Arabidopsis thaliana: one gene and its partners. The protein of the gene in region 1 binds, or shares a complex with, the protein of each later gene. Each region holds a gene or a part of one and is shown on either strand. Other genes may lie near its edges.

What was found.
Region 2: AT3G52860 (region 1) and MED19A share a complex: the UniProt entries of both Arabidopsis thaliana proteins name them as parts of the mediator complex.
Region 3: AT3G52860 (region 1) and GCT share a complex: the UniProt entries of both Arabidopsis thaliana proteins name them as parts of the mediator complex.
Region 4: AT3G52860 (region 1) and AT2G22370 share a complex: the UniProt entries of both Arabidopsis thaliana proteins name them as parts of the mediator complex.

Annotation. Positions count from the first base shown.
Region 1 is NC_003074.8:19,590,667-19,595,391, forward strand, and holds AT3G52860 (mediator of RNA polymerase II transcription subunit-like protein), read right to left. Parts: upstream 2,103-4,725; 5' UTR 2,076-2,102; coding exon 1,856-2,075; exon of another isoform or gene 1,666-1,855; coding exon 1,550-1,665; intron 1,467-1,549; coding exon 1,332-1,466; 3' UTR 1,182-1,331; downstream 1-1,181. Other genes in the region: VSR1 (vacuolar sorting receptor homolog 1), read left to right, coding at 1-75, 167-233, 496-624, 717-829, 929-1,024; AT3G52870 (IQ calmodulin-binding motif family protein), read right to left, coding at 2,699-3,139, 3,246-3,347, 3,476-3,568, 3,666-3,812, 3,899-3,986, 4,105-4,193, 4,289-4,354, 4,566-4,680. UniProt on the Arabidopsis thaliana protein: Component of the Mediator complex, a coactivator involved in the regulated transcription of nearly all RNA polymerase II-dependent genes.
Region 2 is NC_003076.8:3,952,211-3,958,803, reverse strand, and holds MED19A (mediator of RNA polymerase II transcription subunit 19a-like protein), read left to right. Parts: upstream 1-2,618; 5' UTR 2,619-2,895; intron 2,896-3,460; 5' UTR 3,461-3,518; coding exon 3,519-3,546; intron 3,547-3,668; coding exon 3,669-3,958; intron 3,959-4,192; coding exon 4,193-4,429; intron 4,430-4,618; coding exon 4,619-4,678; intron 4,679-4,838; coding exon 4,839-4,889; 3' UTR 4,890-4,985; intron 4,986-5,427; 3' UTR 5,428-5,664; downstream 5,665-6,593. Other genes in the region: AT5G12236 (uncharacterized protein), read right to left, coding at 522-656; CLE22 (CLAVATA3/ESR-RELATED 22), read right to left, coding at 753-1,064; AT5G12220 (las1-like family protein), read right to left, coding at 5,790-6,593. UniProt on the Arabidopsis thaliana protein: Component of the Mediator complex, a coactivator involved in the regulated transcription of nearly all RNA polymerase II-dependent genes.
Region 3 is NC_003070.9:20,635,250-20,641,182, forward strand, and holds the start of GCT (RNA polymerase II transcription mediator), read left to right. Parts: upstream 1-2,130; 5' UTR 2,131-2,344; coding exon 2,345-2,368; intron 2,369-2,449; coding exon 2,450-2,523; intron 2,524-2,616; coding exon 2,617-2,756; intron 2,757-2,842; coding exon 2,843-2,929; intron 2,930-3,090; coding exon 3,091-3,178; intron 3,179-3,267; coding exon 3,268-3,345; intron 3,346-3,592; coding exon 3,593-3,670; intron 3,671-3,759; coding exon 3,760-3,839; intron 3,840-4,092; coding exon of another isoform or gene 4,093-4,147; intron 4,148-4,243; coding exon of another isoform or gene 4,244-4,278; coding exon 4,279-4,357; intron 4,358-4,466; coding exon 4,467-4,793; intron 4,794-5,034; coding exon 5,035-5,094; intron 5,095-5,338; coding exon 5,339-5,573; intron 5,574-5,739; coding exon 5,740-5,788; intron 5,789-5,868; coding exon 5,869-5,933. Other genes in the region: AAE18 (acyl-activating enzyme 18), read left to right, coding at 1-31, 116-210, 288-504, 581-706, 799-897, 991-1,200, 1,294-1,410. UniProt on the Arabidopsis thaliana protein: Component of the Mediator complex, a coactivator involved in the regulated transcription of nearly all RNA polymerase II-dependent genes.
Region 4 is NC_003071.7:9,499,739-9,504,788, forward strand, and holds AT2G22370 (mediator of RNA polymerase II transcription subunit), read right to left. Parts: upstream 2,473-5,050; 5' UTR 2,341-2,472; coding exon 2,299-2,340; intron 2,152-2,298; coding exon 2,052-2,151; intron 1,962-2,051; coding exon 1,904-1,961; intron 1,827-1,903; coding exon 1,470-1,826; intron 1,384-1,469; coding exon 1,281-1,383; 3' UTR 1,046-1,280; downstream 1-1,045. Other genes in the region: AT2G22360 (DNAJ heat shock family protein), read left to right, coding at 1-721. UniProt on the Arabidopsis thaliana protein: Component of the Mediator complex, a coactivator involved in the regulated transcription of nearly all RNA polymerase II-dependent genes.

The DNA of each region.
Region 1 (4,725 bases):
GCTTTGCATTGTGGTATCAACAATGGAGGATGCTGGAGAGAATCCCGAGGTGGCTTCACTTACTCTGCTTGCGTAGTAAGTATTTCGCTTCTATGTCAATGTGTTTGAACAATCATCTTCTTAACCTAAAATAAAACTTCTTTCGTTCTTGAAATGGATTTTTCAGGATGATCATTCAAAGGATTGCAAATGCCCACTTGGGTTCAAGGGCGATGGAGTGAAGAACTGTGAAGGTACTTGCTAAGTATTATTTACAAAATATATGCATGTGGTCTACTTGCATATATAAAGAGCTCTATGTCGATTTATTTAGTAGGCATCACTAGTAACATGCTATTAGCCTATTGTTTATATGCATGCATGTCGGTCTAGAATATTTAGTGCAGATACACAATTATCAGTGGAATTTTTTATTGTACTCAATCAAAGAAGTGAGATCATTGTTAAACGTCAAATTCAAATTCATAATCATATTCTTTTGATTGAATGTGTTAGATGTGGACGAGTGCAAAGAAAAAACGGTGTGCCAGTGCCCAGAGTGTAAATGTAAAAACACTTGGGGAAGTTATGAATGCAGCTGCAGCAACGGTTTGCTTTACATGCGTGAGCACGACACTTGCATAGGTAAAAGAAATAGATCTTCCTTCCTCCTAGCCCCATACTTAATTTGGAGTCATTAATCAGACTTTCTGCTTTTGAATCTGGTGAATGTGTAGGTTCAGGCAAAGTTGGAACCACAAAACTCAGCTGGAGCTTTTTGTGGATCCTTATAATCGGGGTGGGTGTTGCAGGTCTTTCTGGATATGCAGTCTACAAATACAGAATCAGGGTATACGATGTTCTTTACTCTGGTCTTGTTATCATATTAAAACATAGGAAGATTTTGCGGTCTAGATAGAGATGCTAAGTAACAATTGAAATTATGCAGAGTTACATGGATGCGGAAATTAGAGGGATCATGGCACAGTACATGCCATTGGAAAGTCAACCACCCAACACAAGTGGTCACCATATGGATATATGAGTGAAGTTATCAACACAAGCCAAGAGACTCTCTCTCTTTCTATGAGTAGCTTTAAGTTTCCATGTAAATGAATCAATGGACTTGATACAACTCTAGAGAAAAGAAAAAAGCCACAAACAGAAATAAGTGTACCTGCACTATTTGTAAGAAATGTGGATTTGCAGATGGAATCTCCTTTTTGTCTGCATATTACTCTTACAATGTAAAATAGACATAACTGGATGAATAATGAGTGTTACATTATTTACTGTTGAAACTAACTTAAGATCCATAAGAAGAAAAACAATAAACTTTGATTGAGAGATTGTTAAACTTTCTCCAGCTCATCTCTGTGTTTCTCAATCTGTTCTTTCACAAGCTTCTGCGACTCTTGGAAAAGCCTCATGTGCTTCTTTATAAGCTCATCTTTTGTCTTAAGCTCTTCCTCCATTACTGCAATATCCTGTTAAGAACAGAACAGAAGAGAGCAGAAACTGGTAAGACAATATGTGTTTGGAGTTTTCACATTGGTAAATCAAACCACACCTTCTTAAGGCTTTCAGCTCTCGAGGGCGCGCGATCTTCTCGCTTTAGTCCCATGAAGTAAAGCTGAAGCTTTTTCGCAGCTTCCATGAAATCTCTGGCGTGCCGCTCCACATCAACTGCAGCAGTTCAATGAGGGGAATTAAGCTAGAACATCGAATATGGAATCAAAGCTTCGGTTTCAACTGAATTCTAAGCACAAAATTCACTGAGATCATAAGTTAAGCACAAAAACAAACACAACTTCCAAACTATCATTCAAACTAAAACCCTAGAATGGTGAAATTGGAGAGTAGAAAAGGGACTGACTTTGATGAGAAGGGTGAGGAGAGCGATCGATGGCCTGAAGCTCTCTCGCCGGCAAACATGGTAACAGAGCAGCTTCCAAGGCTGTGACGCAAGCCATAATGTCCTCTATGTCATTATTCTGATTGTTCGAGGGGGTCTCCGGTGATCTGATTCCCGGTGGACGGTCAGGCGGTGACGGCGAAGGGTCAGAAGACTGCGGCGGCTTTTGCTGATAATCCATTCACGCCGATCTCGATCTCTCTTTCTCTCTGCTTGTTTGTTTGCCCATAAGGTTTAGTGAAAAATATTATAATGGGGGCCCATTTACTGGATTTAATTTGGGCTTATTGGGCCTTTTCCACATTCTTAATTGTTCTTAAGAATATCATTTTGATGTAATTAATTGAAAACACTGAAAATTCATTTTTAATAAATATATGAAGTAAATCATTTATTTCATATGAAAAAACAATAGTAAGGAGAAGGAACAACATTTTCTGATACTTTACTCTTGATTTGATGTCACAAGATATAACAGATGATGGCTTTTGTAACAAATTTTGATTCCTTATGTAACTTTTTATCTCCATCAAATTAGATAAGTTACATCCTTACTTAAAGATTTTTTAGCTATGGATTTTCTAATGAAATTTGTAAAATGAGTAAGCGATTGACTAAATACTGTAACCATTCTCTTCATTATCAGTGAAAATAGCTTTTAACACATCTCTCATTCTCTTCCTTCTGATTCACAATCATCCATGTGAAAAGATGACAACAAAAACCTTAGATAGAGAACTCACACATTAGTTACAGAAGAAAGATTCTCATTTACTACTACATAAGGAAGTACGGAACATATGATCAGACATCAAGCTTCCCGGTCGGAGAAAGTCTGCTACTCCGGTATTTAGGAGACAAGTTAACAAACTCCAAAGCCTGTGTTCTGAGCTGAACCGGATAATCAGCTGCACAACCGATTCTTGGACCAACTCCTGTCGACCATTTCAGTGACAACTGATGTCCCAATTGTAATGATCTTGACTGTTTCTTTGAGTTTATCCTTAGTAGCATAGATTTCTGCGGCACGTTAGCTTTTGGACTCCCAAGTCCACCTGAGAGTGTTCTCTGGTAGCTACTCCGTTTTGCCTCCTCAAGTGTTCCCACTGTTCCGTTACCGTTCTCATCTGTTTCAGTCTCTGCTTGGAATGTTGTGTCCTCTTTCTTTAACGGTTCCGGTTCAGATCCTCCGTTGGATTTAACATAATCATCGTAGCTGTCAGAATCTTCACTAGCTTTATGCACCTACACATACATAGATATATTAGCTCTCAAGTAGTCTCTTTTTCTAAACAACCAAACTCTAGTTAATGATATCATTCACCAGCCAAGATTAGAACAAGGGCATTACCTCAACATTGTCTAGGTTCACTGCGTTCTCTCTGAGAAACCCGAGAAATGTGTCGAGACTATCGTCTGACGGCCTGTAATGTCCGCTATATGCAGAGATTGTCTGAGATTAAACCGAAAACAGAACGATCAAACAGAGAAATCACAGAAGGCAGACATAATAAAAAAGTTGATATGAATGAACATGTATCTCAACCACTCTAAGAAAAGGACGTGGCCTTAGTAAGTTACCTTGAGAACTCCATTGTCAACAATCACCCTCCCAGCAGCTAATGTAGCTCCTCCAGCCAAAAAGCTTGAGTGATGGAACCTTCCTTTCTTTTTCTGAAGTAAACATAAACAAAGAAAAGAACCATTAGAATCTTTTTCAATACTAATATCAATTCATCACCAATAGAAAGATATAACGGTTTTAACTTACCAGACCGGCATAGAGTTTCTTGAAAGTACTCATAACAAAGATCCATTTTGTTCCTTCCGATCCATGCATTGTGTGTAAGAACTTTCCAGTTAACTTGTGAACAATCTTCCCTTCTATGATCACATACTCATACTCTTCCCTCTCTTGCTGATACCAGAAAAGGCTTATATGAGAGAAATCCCAAAAACAAGTAAAACCAATATTGACATAAGAGAGGAAAAAATGGCACATACAGGTCCAAGATATCTAATGCATTGCTGCTTAAGCTTTGACCTCGGACATTCGTTAAGATCCAAATCTATCCCTCCTCCAACATCCAACCTGCCAAAAAAAAAAAACCCGGATATATCACAAAGTTATAGATAAGAATTATCACCTAAAAAAGATTCTTGAGCTACAAGAAAACACTAACTAAATGAACCTAAGATTTTAAGCATACCAGTAAAAGAATGGCTGACCAGCATCAGCTTTACACCATTCTTCATAGTATTTATGCAGGTTGTGTCCATACCGGTGTCTAGGATCAATCTGATTTTCAAATTTTCATATTATTAGTCTTCTTTTTACATTTAATCAGAATATAACACAAACAAATATTGAAATTTGTGGAAGAAAGGAATTACAGCTTCAATCCAATGCTGAAAGGCCAATTTCTGAGCTTTGTCGACTATAGACAGACCCTTCCCCACCTAAACCCATAACCAAACCACAAGATTACAAAACCAATAACCAAGTGGAGATCTTTTTCTTACAATAATATATATTTTGAGATATTTACATATACTTTTTTCTGAATTTTAATCAAAAGAAGACTCATTAGGGAAAATAAATAAATCACAAAGTTCAACTAGAAATTTTGTGAAAATATGTTTTTGATATTTTTGTGAAAAAAAGGCATACCTTAGAAGCATTCAAGCTAACACGGTTCCATCTAGAAACAGCAGTTTCAGGTCTCGAGTAATCGAAAAACGAAATCGTACTATGATTAAGCCTCGCATAATCCATCGCTTGCCACCTTTTGTTTTTTACCATCATTAATTTAACACGTTAATGACTCTAA
Region 2 (6,593 bases), on another chromosome or scaffold:
TGTTTCTTACATTTTCCCACACCTAGTAAATTGTATACTCATAGTAAAACTCAGTCAATGATTCGAGGTAAATAAGATTATACAGTAGAGTACCAAATTATTCGTCTGTTCCAGATGAAGTTAACATTAAGTATGTTTGCAATTTACTTTTGTTACAAATGTGGTTTGTTAGTGTAAGTGATTTAGTGTCAAATAGGTTTTCCCATCTCAATGATTCTCTTTTTACAGCTTTTGTTAGACTAATAAAATGCTATTCAAACCAATTTTATTCAATATCGTAAGCATGAAATAGCCTGTAATAATCTTACATCTTTCACATCCAACTCTGTAATAGACTAGCTTTATAGTTCTTTCAATTTAACAATGATGTTCATTCTTGTTTTTTTTTTTTTTCATTTGGCATTAACAATGATGTTCATTTATCATTATCAAGATATTCACACACACCACACGAATTCCACCAGCTTCATATTCAAAAACAAGGGTTCCAAAAGATAATTATGCGTGTTATCGATACACTATTAAATCAAGAAAACCGAGAAGCAGTAGTTACTATTTTCAAAGACTCGTTGTTCAACACTCTTCAATCTCATCCCACCACATAGAACACATAAGTTACAATCACGGCATATAACGTACGATATAGTGTATATCATCAGTGTAAGAAAAAAAGTAAATAAATATGTTTTTTGTGTTTGCACAAATGAGTTTTATTCAGACAAAAATTCACAAAAACTTGTAAAAGCAAAAATTTATCTATTGTGCAATGGATTAGGACCTGTGAAGACCCTTCTCTTGCCATCTTCAAAAACATCTTCACCACCACCTTCATAATTAGTATATTTTGATCCTCTTGATGACGCAGCATTGGAGTCAAGATCATGAAGCTTTGGATCCAAATTTCCAGATTTCTTCAAGCTTCCATGAGTTGAGTGATGATGTATATTAGGAGAAGACGATGAAGCTTTAGCGTAAAGAAACAGAAACAAAAGAAGAAGAAGGATGATCAAGGCAACTGTAGTGATGTGTTTCCTAGATTTTCTTCTAGAGTAGTAATTTCCCATCTCTTAGGAATCTTCAAGATATGAAGAGTTTCTCTATAAGGTATAGATTATATATTTAGAATCGATTTTTGCAAGTATAAAAGATCTGATCAAGATCTCTTAAATAAATTCTCTCTCAAAGTCTGTAAGAATGAGAAGAGAGGAATGAAAGTGATGGAAGAAAAAGCTATGGGGCTTTTAACCTATGACTTCCTCTAAAAGTTTGTTGCTCTCCCTTTCTTATTCTCCACCACTTTCTACAAATAAAGAGAAGAGAAACTAGATAGAGGTTTGTAAATATATATATCATTAATTTTTAACGAAAGTTTTTTTTGTGTGTTGAATCATTTCCAAAGGTCTTAGCTGGGATTACTAGGTCAAGTGGTAGTAATTAGTGTGGTTAATAATATACTTATAGTGGTTAGTTTTAGAGAGTAATGAGGGTGTGATAATAAAGCATATAGAGGAAGGTAATTATGTGAAGGGGGTCAAAAGTAGAAAGAAATAGAAAAGAGAGAAGAAGGGGCCAAAAAGGGAATTGGAGTGATGATTCTAAGACTTAGCTTTCTTTGGGGAAAATGATGTTGTCTTCACTCCCTTTTTCTTCACCCACATTTACACTCACTCACACACATGAAAAAATCCACTTACCACTTGAATCTTCTTCCTCTCCATTTTATATAAATGTTGTATATCTATATTTGCTTCTCGTTTTTTAGTCTTTCTAAGATTACTTTTTTTTTTTTAATTTTACTTTATTATGAGTTAAGAAAGAGAATAAAGAAAACAGTATCACAAGAACTAAATTACATACATGATACATATATGGATATGATTCTCCAATATGCATCTTCTACCTTCGATAAACGTATTTACAACTTGTGCAACAAATGTTTTTAAGAAATCAAGCTGAAAGTTTATAGAAGAAAAAACAAAGACTTACGTCCAATATTTGTCAAGAAACACCATATGTGATATGTACCTCAATATATCCTCATCAGTCATCACGTTTTTATATATTATATTCCCATTTATTTTACAGCAGACAAATCATCATTTACATAGTAGAGAGCAGGTATACAAACTCAAATCCCCAAAAATACCATTATTCCATTTTGTTCTCGTCAAGCACTTTGTCTCTGATGTTATATCAGCAAATATACACGTATGTATTCATCGTATGTTTCATCTTAAATTGTAGAAGATATTGTTAGGCATGTCTCGATCGGATTAGACCTGTCCGACCAACCCAAAACACTGAAAACTTACATTATTTATGTTTTGATAATTTTCGGTCTTATAATGGTTTTTTAGAATAACAATTCATGTTTTTCACTCAAGTAAATAAAAAATATAGAAAGAGATAACAATCTAAATCGGATATAAATAGTCGTGGATATTTTTGTTTGGATAAGAGTACCACCGGTTAAAGAGAGATTCATTACTCGGTTCGAATACGGTTTAGCTAATGGAAGATCCTTGATTTGTCTGGTTAAGTGGGCCGTGTTGAAGGAGCGCGTGAAGCCCACGCGGAGCCCTTGAATAATAATAAAAAAAGGCTGACTGTAATTTGTTGATTATATTGAGAGAGAAGCCAACGGAAGAAAACAGAGAATAATTCCTCTCTCATTGGTCATCAGACACAAAAGACTCTCAAACCCTAACTAGTCTCGCTTTTTCGCTCTCTCGAACCTTCTTCGATCTCTGTCCTTTCTCGATCACTTGCTAAAATCAAAATTTTAGGCGGGAATTCGATACCCAAGCCCAAGACCCAAACACTTCCCCCCTCACGTTTCGCTGCTTTCGTTAGCTAGCTTTCTCAAACGAGATCTGGGCTTGTCGAAAGAAACGTGTATGTTGATTGTTTCGATTCTTTCTCCTACCAATTGAATCTGAGATTTTGGTTTTGCTATTGGGCTCTGTCTTGTTTCGTTTTCGAATTCCAAATTCCTCAATTTCGAATTTCTCTTCTGCTTGAAGCTTTTTTATCGAGTCTAATCTTCGTTTCTAGTGATTACTTCGCTTGTCTGATTTTTTTTTTGTTAGCTTCATTCCTAAATAGAACAAATTGATGAAACTTTCTTGTTGACTAGATCCAAAATGTATGGACTTGGTATCTAATTTTACTTTTACAAACTTCCGAAAACTTTCTAGGGTTTTGTTTCTGATGCTAGTTTCATTTTTTTTGAGCTTGGAGCAGAAAAGTTGAGAATTGATAGCATCTAATGCTAAATTAGATTTTCTTACTTCTTAGTTTTGGTCACTATGAAATATGAGCTGGTGCTTAGTTATAACTTTTGTATTGTTTGTGCTACAGAATTGTTAGTTTAGATAGTATCGAAGCTGAATTTGCTTTCTGTAGTAGTATTATTTCCTTATCACTCTATGCTTTTTCTGATTTTTGTTTCCTTGTGTAGGATATATATGCAGTGAGCCAGTGATCATGCAAAAGAAATTCAGAGTGCGATAGAGAAGATGGAGCCTGAACGTTTAAAATTTGGAGGTACATTGGTTTCGAATTTGGAGCTTCTTCAGTTCGTGAAGTTATTTTTTTTGTAGCTCGTTGTCCTTTGTTTTCCCCTTTGGCTCACCTTGAGGTCAATGTGTTGTTTGTTTCAAGTGCAGGTCCAAGAGAGTTGTGCGGTGCTGCGGATCTTATATCTCAATTCAAACTAGTGCAACACCATGAATTCTTTTGCAAGAAATCTCTTCCTGTTTCTTTATCAGATTCCCATTATCTTCATAATGTGGTTGGGGACACAGAGATCAGAAAAGGAGAAGGAATGCAATTAGATCAGCTTATTGAGAGCATATCACAGAGCCGGGAGACTAATATTCGCATCCAGCCTTTTGATATAGATGAGCTTCAGGAGTCTTTCCAACTAAATGATATGACTCCTGTTGAATTACCCCCAGTAAGAATCTGATCTTTCTCACTCTCTCTTGGTGTTTTGAGTTTTAAATGTCCTTCTTTTCATAAGAGTAACAGTATTTGCCATTACATTGAACTTAAAAACTGGCTCAGTAATGAATGTCCTATTTCCTGTAACATCAAGTTCTTTGGTTAATTGAGAATCTTTCCCTAGTAATGTGAATTACATCTGGGTGTCCTATGGAGATGATTGACCTTGGTACTATTCTTCTTTCAGGCAGAGAAGGGAGCTCCTACAATTCCGTCTAAGTCAAAAAGTGAGTCGAAAGATAGGGACAGGAAACATAAGAAACACAAGGACAGGGATAAAGACAAAGATAGAGAGCATAAGAAGCACAAGCACAAACATAAAGATAGAAGCAAAGATAAAGATAAAGACAAGGACCGAGACAGAAAGAAGGACAAAAATGGCCACCATGATTCGGGTGATCATTCTAAGAAACATCATGATAAGGTAAAGAACATGTCTGTTTGTTGAAGGTGTCTGTCTTTCCAAAGAAGAATAGCTTAATGGAAAGTTTTGTATTTGTTGCTCTTGAGTTAGGCTGCTTTTTTGACCTGCTTGGCATGAAATTAGCAGATCTAGAGACTGCTCTAGAACATTTTATTGAGTTTTTATGGAGCCTTTTCACTTATATTTCAGAAAAGGAAACACGATGGAGATGAAGATCTTAATGACGTTCAGAGGCACAAAAAAAACAAGGTAATGGTAATGAAGTGGGGCCTCAAATTTTTCTCGTTCTTCATTAACACTCAACATGAAATTTCCACCATAATGTTTTTTTTGCACAAAGGTGCTAGAGAACTAGTAATATGTCTTTGATAAATTGTATTGATTCAGCTCTTGATTGAACCTGTTGCAGCATAAAAGCTCAAAGCTTGATGAGGTGGGTGCAATAAGGGTTGCTGGCTAAAAAAGTTGTAGACATTCCAATTTTGTATTCTGCACTCGAGTAGGTGTCATGGAGACTTTAGAAGCACTTTTCAACTCACTGTAGACAGCTTATTAGGTAAGCATCTGTGTACTGTCCTGTCTCTTTTGTACAATTTTTTCGGTGTTCTTGGTATTCCGGGATCCTTCATAGAACATATACATCTGTTATAGTCCAGATACTATACTTTAGGGGAACTGAACCCATAATATTTTTAGGCAGATACTTGAGTTTTGTGTTGTATTCTTTAAGTTACTGAAATCCAAATAACGCAACATTTGCAAGGGAACATTGTATGTGTCTCTGTGCGACTTCTGTATTGGTATTGGATTCTTTTCTGGTCTTAAGAAAGTTGCCGTGATACATAACTAATGAAAATCGGGTAACCTGTCGAAAGAACATATCAAAGATAGGATGTGTTTCTAAATAGAACAGTCTCAGCTAACACAAATCATTGCTTACATTTTTGTTACTTTCTTATATTTTCAAGTTGTGTTGAACAAAATGATTGGCTTTGTAGGTTAAAAGCCCAAACTGGTGAATTCATTCCTTGAAGAAGAAAGGGGAAATTTGTGAAATGAAGAAGAAGAATTTAGTATCATAATTGATTTGGTGTCAGATTTGTAACATTTTTCTTGGGGTGTTCTATTCCATCTCTTTTCTGTCTATATACTCAATACAACACAAATCGTTACTATTCATGTATAATAATTTACTTACCAATTGATGTTGTTGAAAAAGTAACTGTCAAATCCACTTATTTACTTTTACTTGAGTGTCACAATGTCTATCTGTCTGCGACTATGCCTGTAAAAATTGATCAAATATCTGAACTATTTTCTCAAAAATATGTCGGATTATATGATTACATCTGTCGAAATCTCAAACACAAATTGTAACACTAGAAGCCATCCCCGAGAGTTCTCCATCATTTACTCTTTTCCATTCACCATCTATCATAAGGCAGCTTCTACTTTCCTCTTCATCATTCCACATCAGATTCTCTTCTGCTACAGTTTCAGTTTCCTCATATGCATGTTCTATTTCCATCTCAGCTTCTTCCTCGTATGATTCCAATGTCACATCATTTGATTCAGAATCTCCTGCACTCTTCCTTGCTCGCTTGCATGGCGATTTCTCCAATTGATTTCTATTACACTCAGCTCCTCTCTTCGCATTGTTGTTACCTTGTGCTTGTTTTGAGATGCTCTTAGCATTCTGATTGTCAAGAAGAGGTAAACGTCCAGAAGATCCAATGATCCGAGGCAACATACCAATTGGACAAGGGCTCCATGTTTTTGCCTTTCTCCATCTGTTACCGGTTTTGTCTGTGTCAATACCTTTCTTCTTTGAGAGTTGAAGTTTGACGAACTCAAGTCTCTTGCCTGCATTACCGAGATTCTTCTCTTGCTCAAGGAGCGTTGTACTAGCTGTTACAAGAGTAGAACTCTGTTTCAATGGAACAATTGCAGAGCTTTTATGCATAAGAGGAAGTTTTATGAGCTTCTCCTTTAAGACACGGCCTCCCACAATCTCTGCGAGTAGAAATGCTGATTTCAAAACCAGCTCATATCCTAAGGCTCCCAAGACAAGACATCTACGTATAAGTTCCATAAGGAAAATGCTTGGAGGTTTCACTTCTAGAGAACTGTTTCTCTGAAAATGCTTTGATCCATTGAGAAGACT
Region 3 (5,933 bases), on another chromosome or scaffold:
CCTTGGCCGCGGTTTTGGAAAGTTTGTTCAGGCAAGACATCTCCATTGTTGTCTCCTTTTCAATTTTAGTAAGGTTCGATAAATCCTCACTTATTTGTGCTTGATATTACTTCAGGATGCTGGAGTTACAGTTCTTGGTACTGTTCCAAGCTTGGTGAAAACTTGGAAGAGAACAAACTGTATGGAAGGGCTTAATTGGACAAAGATTAAGTAAGGAGCAACAAACCTTGTTTTGTTTTCGGGTTTATACGAGAAATTTTAACTTAGAAGCTGTTGTGTTTTGTTAGGTTTTTCGCCACTACAGGAGAAGCTTCCAATGTTGACGATGTTCTCTGGCTTTCTTCTAAAGCTGATTACAAACCTGTGATCGAATGCTGTGGAGGCACGGAACTTGCTTCGTCATACATCATAGGAAGCCCTCTTCAACCGCAGGCTTTTGGAGCGTTTAGCACACCATCCATGACAACTAGAATCATCATCTTCGATGAAAATGGCGTCCCATATGTGACAAACTGAAACTTTAGACATTTGGAGTATTTTCTTAGAATATCCAGAGATTGATGTAGACTGGTTTTTGCAGCCGGATGATCAACCATGTACTGGAGAAGTCGGTTTGTTCCCCCAGCACCTTGGGGCCACGGATAGACTTCTGAATGCAAATCACGACGAGGTTTACTTCAAGGGAATGCCCATGTATAAGGAAACAGTGAGTAGTTTTAGAACTTCTATATTTACATCTAAACAAAATTGCAAACTTACGTCAGTTAAACGATTCCTCTGTTCTGTTGCGTTCTGCAGCGACTTAGAAGACACGGTGACATTGTGAAGCGAACTGTTGGAGGATATTACAATGTTCAAGGTAGAGCTGATGATACCATGAACCTTGGAGGCATTAAGGTACTACATACATTGTATGTCTATATACCCAACTTCGATTAGAGTTGGAACTTTTCTCAAGTTTTCATCTTTTGTTTATCTGTTATAACGCAGACGAGTTCTATTGAGATCGAACGTGTGTGTGATCAAGCTGATGAGTGCATCTCTGAGACAGCTGCAGTCACCTTAACACCACCTAACGGTGGTCCAGAGTTGCTGGTCATATTCGCAGTCTTGAAAGAAGGGTTCAAGCAACAGAGTGGAGAAGAGCTAAAGATGAAATTTTCAAGAACCATTCAAAAAGATCTTAATCCTCTCTTCAAGGTAATCAATATCTTTGATGAGTTTTTCTATAAATTCAAAGTTATTATAAGATTTTTTGTGTGCTTAAAAATGGATTTTGCAAAAATATTGCAGGTGAGTTTTGTGAAGATTGTGCCGGAGTTTCCAAGAACAGCTTCTAGCAAGCTACTGAGAAGAGTCTTGAGAGATCAGATTAAGCAAGAACTACTATCCTTACGAAGTCGAATATAAAGCCTTGATCTTAAGTTTAACTAGAATAAAATAAGATCTGCTGAGTAGTAGTTGATCTACACATGATTGGGTACTGCTCGGTCCAAATAAGAAAACCGATTAAATCAAATCTACCGGTCCTTGAATTCTCTAGCCTGATTCACATTTACATGACTAAACACTTTGACTTTGTTATGTTTGTGTTTGTGTTTGGTGTATATATTTCATATCAGATTATAATCTTAATTTTCCTCAAGATTATCTTTTGTTTAAATTTGTAAAAATATTTCGGACGATACTCATACATCCCATAAGGCTTTGAGACATCTGAATAGTATCACCACGAATGACCTATGGAACCAGAAGACAACTAGCCGCACCCAACGATACAAAGATAGCGTTAAGATCATTCGAGGTCTAGCTATATCGTGGTATACAAAATCTAGAAAATATAAAGTAAAACCATAGCATTGTTTGGTTCATTTGATTGATGCAAGTCAAACAAACTCGAAAGAATGAGATCTTAATACCAAAACTTCAAAAACACTTGATATTAAACACCTTATTTGGAGGAAACTCTTTTATGATGCTTGTGGTTGGCGGTTTTTTTTTTTGAACCAGAGTGTTGTGAAAATAATGAATTGGGCCTGACTAAAACAAATTGGGCCACAGAAAAAAAAAGAATTAGTAAGAGCAACAAAAAAAAAAGAACCCTAAAGAGCGCGTTTGGATCTGGTTTTATGAAAACCACGAGAGATTTCGTGTTGAGATGATTATGATGTATTGAAGAGTTTTGATCAAAAGAGAGATATAAACCTCGCAACATCAAGAGAAGATCGAGCTAGAAATTGACAACGTCTTCCAATTCCGAGCGCTTCAAGACGATGATTTTGGGGTTATAGCCTATAATTTGAAGAAAAAAAAGGATTGAACTTGTTGTATCTATCCCCAAGTGATGTGGACTAATGTTTTCAGAATTGTAAGTCTTATTCTATCATCTTTTTCCCATTGTGTGTGAAAATTGACTTATTGGTAATACATGATGATTTTTCTTCTACAGGGTGGTCTACATAATGTTTCTTGGTTTCAGTTTCTTCCAAGTGAAACTGAGCTGAATCCTGGCTTTGATAGAAGGTTAAAGCTTTAAGCTTTTTCAATGGGTTGTTTTAGTTTTTCCTTATTGACATTGTACTAATTAGTCTGGTCACTCTGGAGTTTTTTTTTCAGTTCAAGAGCTGAGCAGAATGAAGTTGCAACATATCTTGTACTTTCCTCTCATCTACGGTTGCAGAAGGAAGGGTTTCTTACCACTTGGACCAATTCTTTTGTTGGACCTTGGGATCCATCTCAAGGTTTATACAACCCTGGTAATGCTAAATCTCAATCTGGTACTTTTAAATTTTGTAACTTTATTTACAGTTGTATCTAACCATCATTCCTCGCTGCTGCTCAGATGAAAAGATTAAGCTTTGGCTTTTTCTACCTGGGCGTCATTCATCAATATCTGATAAAGCTCAGGCTGCTGTGTCAAAGCTTAGAGGTATATTCTCCTTATGATTTATTTTCTTCATCGTATTTTGTCGCCTCAATAGATTCAAACATATTGTCTCTATTCTGATTATGACTGTTTAGTGAACATGCCTGTGGTCTATGGTTATCTTGGTATACTTGTCCTTACTTTTCTTTTTCTCCTGTTGAAAGTTGTTGCGTCAGGAATTTGGGTAGCACCTGGGGACTCTGAAGAGATATCAGTTGCCTTTTCACAGTCTTTACGTAATTGCATCGAAAGGTTAGTTTTTTATTATCTGCAGACATAATGGTTGGATTAAGGAAATAATGGATTAGAGTATCATATTAACTTGTTTGATATCGCCACAGAGCATTATCTGGAATTTCCTACATGAGATTTGGAGATGTGTTTTCAAAATTCAGCCCTCAAAGCGAAGAATATTTGAGGTATCTGCAACCTCTTACCAATATAAGCGAGACCATGCGTTATAATCTCTGATGGTTTATTAGCAAATATATCGTCTTTTTTCTCTATGGCTTTTCGATTATGTATTATCCTATAGCTTTCATTAAATAGGGTCTGTGAGACCTAGGTTTCCTGAGTGTAATTCTTAGAATCCAAAGAATTCTATGATTAGGTCTGTGGCTCGCTAATGCTCTGTGGCTCGCTAATGCTCTGTGGATATTTATGTAGGAGGGGACAGCCTACTGTTGAATTCATCTTTGCTGCTACCGAAGAGGCAGTTTTTGTCCATGTCATTATATCTGCCAAGTCCGTAAAGCTTTTTGTTATACTGTTTCAGTTATGGTTTAGTGCTTCACATAGTTATTGAAACTAACTATAATATTTTATGCACGAAGGAATGTCCGCACACTTTCAAGTGGCGATGCTGAAAGAATGTTAAGGAGTTCTTTGAAAAACTCCAGTTATAGGCTTCCAGGTTAGTTATTTTTCCATCATCATTTGGATTGATAAATTATCCTACTTGTCTACGATTTTGATGGAACTAGTTCTAGATGTTTGTTGACCTCTTCTTGCTTTGTACTGTTAGAATACTGTATAGATTGAGAGCATTTTGAACTCAATTTTCAATGCATCCACTCCAAAAAGAAACCTAGTGTAGTCTAGTGCTACTGCTACCTAGCTTCATCAAGCAAAGATTTAACACCTCATTTTTTTGCATGTCACAAGAGCTTTTCGTAAATGTTTGGGATTGGCCAAGAGTGAGGATAATAGATTATGCTACATGTAATTCTATGAAGCCAAACTTTTTGAATTGATACCTGAAATGAAATCCGCCTTCTACACATGCTTAAAGAAAGATAAGAGCTTTTTATTTGATAGAAACACTTCTCACAGGCCTATGTTATTCCCACCAGTTATTGTTTCTCCTCATGGAATGCGGGGCAGCCTTACTGGATTCTGTCCCAATGACCTTGTCAAGCAAGTCTACTTCAGGTACATTTCATACCTTTGCTTTCGAATGCCAAGTCAACATTTTTTGTGAGTGCGTAGCCGTTAATCTGATTAATCCAATTTTCTCAACTAATACTTTTTTCTCACACAGTTCTGGAAACTTAAAAACTTCGACTGGATATGTTGGTCTCCCTTCTCATATTGGTCGTGGGTCCCGTCTGATAAATGGCAATCATTGCTACGTGGAAGTTACACTTGGTTGCTGCCAAAATAGAAATGACAACACAAGTCAAGCTAATTCGACCTTTGCAGTTAACTTGCCCCATAACCAGTGTCCTGAACCTTCAGTTGGGAGTAAAGATCACCGTAAAGGACAATCAGATCTTTCATCAGTTTGTGAAAAAAAGTTCATCTATCCAGCTGAGGCAGTGCTTGTACCAATCTTACAGTCGGCATTTGCGAAATTTTCTTTGAAAAGGTAAATTGACTAGGTGAGGTGGTTATTTAGAATTCATTGAGTACTTAACGGTAAGATCCAGATTGGCTATACATAAAATTTATTTCGTTTCTGTTGAATTCCATGTATGTATTAAAACAAATTGACTCTGTGTGATCGTAGTGGAAGTTTTAGTAATTGTTTCAGACCCATGTTAAATAGATGTAATAGTTGTGATCTTTCCTCAGCTTGGAGCTGATGCAAGGTGAAATCATACTTGCAGATTTTGGCTTCAAAACTGGATAGGCCCGTCACTAGCAGGCTCATCTTTGTTTATGCACTGGTGAGTCTTTTTCATCTATCTCGTCGACATTTGAAGATCAAAAGAAATCCACAAAACAGAGGTCTTGAAATGCCCAAACTGTTCTGAGAAACCGAATGTTTTGTAATCTTCATTATTTGAAGCACCATAGGAGTGAGAGCTGTGGCATTTCCGAGTTTTGTTCCAATGTTATACGTAACGATTTTGTTTTTCATTATAACAGTCTGTCCATGATCCCTGTATATGTGAACTTTATTTTATGCAGGGCTGGTGATTTTGACTGCCTTGGTGCGTCTGAAAATAAGAGTGATGGGTTTTATGAAAAAAATGGTTACAATAGCAGTGGTAGTAGCCGTAATAGCAGCATTAGTTCAACAAGTAGCGCTTCCAGCGGGAGCGGCTGGAGGATGACGTCAAGAACTGGTGATCTTGACGCTGATGCAGATTCTTTGACGTGTAGGCAATCTGGTCTTACTTGTAATGATGATCGCCTAAAAATGGTACGACTTTTATCTATGGAAGGGATGGAGTTTGCATGGTACTGATGAGGAAATTGAATTGTCGATTGTAGCACTAACATGCTTAATCAACATCATATAATGTAGTTTTCCTTATTTTATAATAATTCACGAAGCTAACCAATAAGTAACATAACATTCTTTACAGGGTTCCAAGCGGCCGCGAACAGGGATGGCAGAGTCATTCGGTCAAGTAGGTACTGTCACTGATGCACCTATTCAAGAAGCATATATGTCAGGATTTGTTTCCACTAAAACTAATAAACTGGTGTTCCAGGCATTGAAAATGATCAAATTGGTTGGGATTGGGATGCTGATGATGATGATGATGACAGAGAAGTT
Region 4 (5,050 bases), on another chromosome or scaffold:
AAACTTCAAAGAAGCGGTTTTCGGAATGGAGAAAGAAATAGAGATATCCCGGCTCGAGAGCTGTGGGACATGTGAAGGTTCAGGTGCAAAACCTGGAACCAAACCGACCAAATGCACCACGTGTGGCGGACAAGGCCAAGTGGTTTCAGCAGCTAGAACTCCTCTGGGCGTGTTCCAACAAGTCATGACTTGCTCGTCCTGTAATGGCACTGGAGAGATCTCGACGCCGTGTGGTACTTGCTCTGGAGACGGACGCGTGAGGAAGACAAAACGGATAAGTCTCAAAGTACCAGCCGGGGTTGATTCAGGTAGCCGGTTGAGAGTGAGAGGAGAAGGCAATGCCGGGAAGAGAGGCGGATCACCAGGCGATCTGTTTGTTGTTATAGAAGTTATCCCAGACCCGATTTTGAAACGAGACGATACAAATATTCTCTACACTTGCAAGATATCGTATATCGATGCGATTTTAGGGACGACACTGAAAGTACCAACAGTGGATGGGACAGTAGATTTGAAAGTTCCAGCTGGGACACAACCTAGCACGACGCTTGTGATGGCGAAAAAAGGAGTTCCGGTATTGAACAAGAGTAATATGAGAGGAGATCAGTTGGTGAGAGTACAAGTGGAGATACCTAAGAGATTGAGCAAAGAGGAGAAAAAACTTATTGAAGAGCTTGCTGATATGAGCAAGAACAAGACTGCTAATAGCACCAGTAGATGATTAGAAACACGAAAATTTTGACATTGAAATTATGAATCTCTCTATACATATACATTTTTCTACTCTGGCTTGTGATATTTAGAATGGCTCTTGAAAAAAGAAGAAGCAAGTGGAGGAAGATGATTATTGTTGTGGAAATGGAAGAATTTTAGAATTCATTTTTTTGTGGTTCAAATTTTTAATATGTTAGGTTTTAATAGGCTTTCAAATTGGAATTTATTAGTGATTGAATGATAAATAAAATAGTATGTAATTCCACAAAGACATTCACATTATTTTAATCATGTTCGAAGCTTCATAAACTATCAATCTACTGACAAGTGACAACAATGAAACATCATAATACCAAAAGGTTGAGAGAAGAGCAAAGATCATATGCAAGTTGTGATTTATAAAGAATATTTATTAAAGATCCCTTACTGATTCTCATTAAATAATACTTAACTCTAATGGTTCACAAGATTTCACAACCATTGTGTAATCTGGAAAATTGACTAGATTGGACCAAAAGATCTAACAAGAGAGAACACAAGAACAGTTGTTTTTAACTTCAAACTTCTTACAATGTAGTACCTCCTCCATCCGACATAAGAGATGCAGCCGCCGCAGCAGCGGTTGGCACAACCCCCGTGGAGATAGACGGTTTCGACAAGTGAACAAGCCTGAAAACACAAGGAATCATATCACTGATGAAGCTTATATCAAAGACACTATCACAGGTGCTGTAAAATATATCAGATGAACTTACGGAGCAAGAAATTCACAGAAAGATGAAACAGCAGCAGCGACTTCACTGTAATTCTCAGAAGTTGCAGGAGCAGTTACATCAACAATCTGCATACCAGGTGTTACAGGAACAGCCTCATCTATAGCATGAACTTTAGGCATCTTATTAACAGAAGATACAGAAACACTTATGTGCGCAGTCCGTTGGAAATGAAAGGCGAATCCGACTTTGAGAAGCTCATGGTCTAGTTTGTAACCGAGTGCATAGAACATACGCAAAGCATTCTTGCTTACTTTACTTTCAATCATATTTCTAACCAAAACAGAGATTTGATCAGCTCCTGCACCTCTCATCGCACCACCAACATGTTTAACCGTCCTATGGTTCTTAAATTAGCTTCCTTTGAATGAAACAAGAACATATACAACAACAACAACAACAAGAAGAAGCTGTACCATGTGGGTTCGGGTTGATCAAGATCACATAATAGCCTAACTTCTGATGACACAACTCCTGAAAAAGTGAAGATTTCACAAATGTGAATCATGTATGATTCATAGGAAGCTTCAAGTTTCTGAATTTAACAAAAGGAATTGGCTTTACCAAGATTTGGGCCGCTTCTTAAGCATAACTCATGAACTCTTAAACGTTCGCGTTGAACACCACAAAGACCTTGAAGAAGAATCTCAAGAGCTTCAACATGCTGCAAAATCCAGTAGAAAATCTAATCAAATTCTAATAAAAATTCAAGCCTAGGGTTTATCAATTGGACATCATAAGAAAGCTAAAAGCTGATCCATGAACTCGAAAAACTTGGGATTTGTTCGTCAATCAAAAAATACAAACGAACCTGTGTCTCGATGATTCCTTGAACCACACACTCCATTGACATTGAGCTATCACAAAATCTCTCAATTAAAATCGTAAATATATTCTCAACAAGACCAAATCCGAAATTGGAAAAACTAACGAAAGCTTCCTAAATCGTCCTCGGGAGCGAATCTGAGATTTTTTAACACCGGAGAATTTTAGCTAGTTACTAGAATCACTTGTGTAGTTGTTATATAGTAGTTAGCTGTAGATAAAGCAAGATGGCCTATTAGCTCAGTTGGTTAGAGCGTCGTGCTAATAACGCGAAGGTCACAGGTTCGATCCCTGTATAGGCCATTTCGTTTTTTCTTGTTGCCCCTTTTTTGGGAACTCGATCATAATAAAAACTCTAGTGCATCTCGGTCATTGATTAGTGATCACCAAATAGCCCATTAGCTTAGTTGGCCGCATGATGAGAACATAACCACCGGTTAACCGGAGTAAACCGTCATTAGTTAGGTTGAAGATAGAATTTAGTTTGTGCTATCTTTGCTAAAAAGTTCATGAACCCTAACCTAATTAGTTGGCATTTTAAGAAGTCAACTAGTTTCGATAAAGTTTATGAACATAGCAAATGATATTTATATATGGTTATTTCATCTTGGTTGTGATTACTGTAAATGTCTACTAAGTAGAATGTGTTAATTCCTTATAATTGTTGACAAGAAATATGTAGAAAATTTTGTCAAAATTATTGCGATGTTGTGTAGATTAAGTGGCCACTACATCACCACAATCCTTTAAATTATTAGATAAAAAGTTCAAAAATAAGTCAAATAACCATGTTTACGAAAAGTTTGGAGGAGAATAGGAAAAATGTAAATATATTTATTTTAGCCTCAAACAATTCTTCTCTATTTCAATAGACGAATGAATCCTCAATTTTGCATTAACTAAACCATTTTAGTTTCTTCATTCGTCAATAATATCCTCAAGTGTGTAATCATGTTAATGCTCGTCTAATATACCGGTAACTCAAACCGGCCTCATTTTAACCTACCTCACCAAATTTGTAGAGGTAGCATAATACACGGGCCAAGTTGAATATCCAAGTTGATATTTATGCTTATAATGCATCATTTATGAATTGCCAATTGTCAAATGCCAAGCATGCTTTTGTGGGAAGGCTTATGAATTGTTTACAATGATACAAGATGCAAATGTAAAACCAAATATCATCAGGATATATTAATACAAGAGTCTATGGACTTGTTTCAGAGGATGAAAAATATAAAAACAAAAAGGTGTTCAACAAAAATAGGTCAAGCTTTGGGTTGTATCCAAGTTTATGTATTAGTGATCCGAGCAAGAGAACCTATCAATGCGATACACGTGTAGCAATCATTAATCAAATCCACGTATGACGACTTTGACTACCATACACTCTAGTACTCTCTACCGTAGAGGATTACATTTTAACCCTACGATTAGTTTAATCTCTCAGTCCACCGGAGAGTGTAAAAACAGCGAGAAAATCGACGTCGTTCGATCGCCGACTGCGAGCGAAGAAGAAGATGGCTGAAGAAGAGGTTGACTACGTATTCAAGGTTGTTTTGAACGGAGATTCAGCGGTTGGGAAGTCACAGCTACGAGCTCGGTTCACAAGAGACGAATTCAGTATGGATTCCAAAGCCACAATTCGGTGTCGATTTCAATACTCGAACGCTCGTTATTGACGATAAGAACATCAAAGCTCAGATCTGGGACATCGCAGGCCAGAAACGGTACTATATCCTTCTCCGATCTTAGTTCTATCTTCTCTGATTTAACAATGGATAAAATATTGCTTCGAACTCGATGATGTTACAGTGTTGCTGTTCAATTTCGATTTTGATCTTCGTGTGTACCTGAGAGTGACCTCATTTTGACTAGAGAGTAATCGACTCTTTTAGAAGTTGGACCATTAGTGTTGGAATTGTTCGATTTTGTTCTTCGGCAACATTGTAATGTGTTGTTATAGCATTCTCCTGAAGAATCAAATTATGTAGTGATGATCACATTCACATCCAAGTGGCTAATCATTGTGCATGGCATGTTTTCTCCATTGTACATAGCAATGTGGTTGGTTTGATTAGTGACATTCTTGTTCTTTTGCTGTGAGTAGACACAGAGCTATTACATAAGCCTACTACAAAGGTGCTGTTGGTGCAATGTTAGTTTACGATATGACAATACGTGAAAGCTTTGAGCACATTCCTCAGTGGTTGGAAGAACTACGAGTGCACGCGGATAAGAACATTGTCATCATCTTGATTGGTAACAAGACGGATTTAGAGAACCAGAGATCGGTTCCTGTGGAAGATGCCAAGGAATTTGCAGAGAAGGAAGGGCTTTTTTTCCTTGAGACTTCAGCACTAAACTCCACAAATGTCGAGAACTCTTTCAACACTCTCTTGACTGAGATCTTCAACAAGGTGAACAAGAAGAATCTCGCTAAGACCACCGTGTCTTGCAGCTCACAAGTCAGTCTTCTAAGACCACCGTGTGTTGCAGCTCAATAAGTCAGTCTTCTCGATTTGGTCCATTACAGTTTAGAATAAAATAAACCATTTCATATACTTCAAAAATATTGTTTTGATTTGGTTTTTAGATAGTGAGTTTTGTGTAGTGTACGTTGATTTTTAGAACAAAATCTTTCATTTTTTTTATGTCGTTCCAACAAAAGTCATCATGATTATGCTTATATGAAAAATAATTTGGAGGTAGTAAGGGAATAGTCAAACCACAACAAA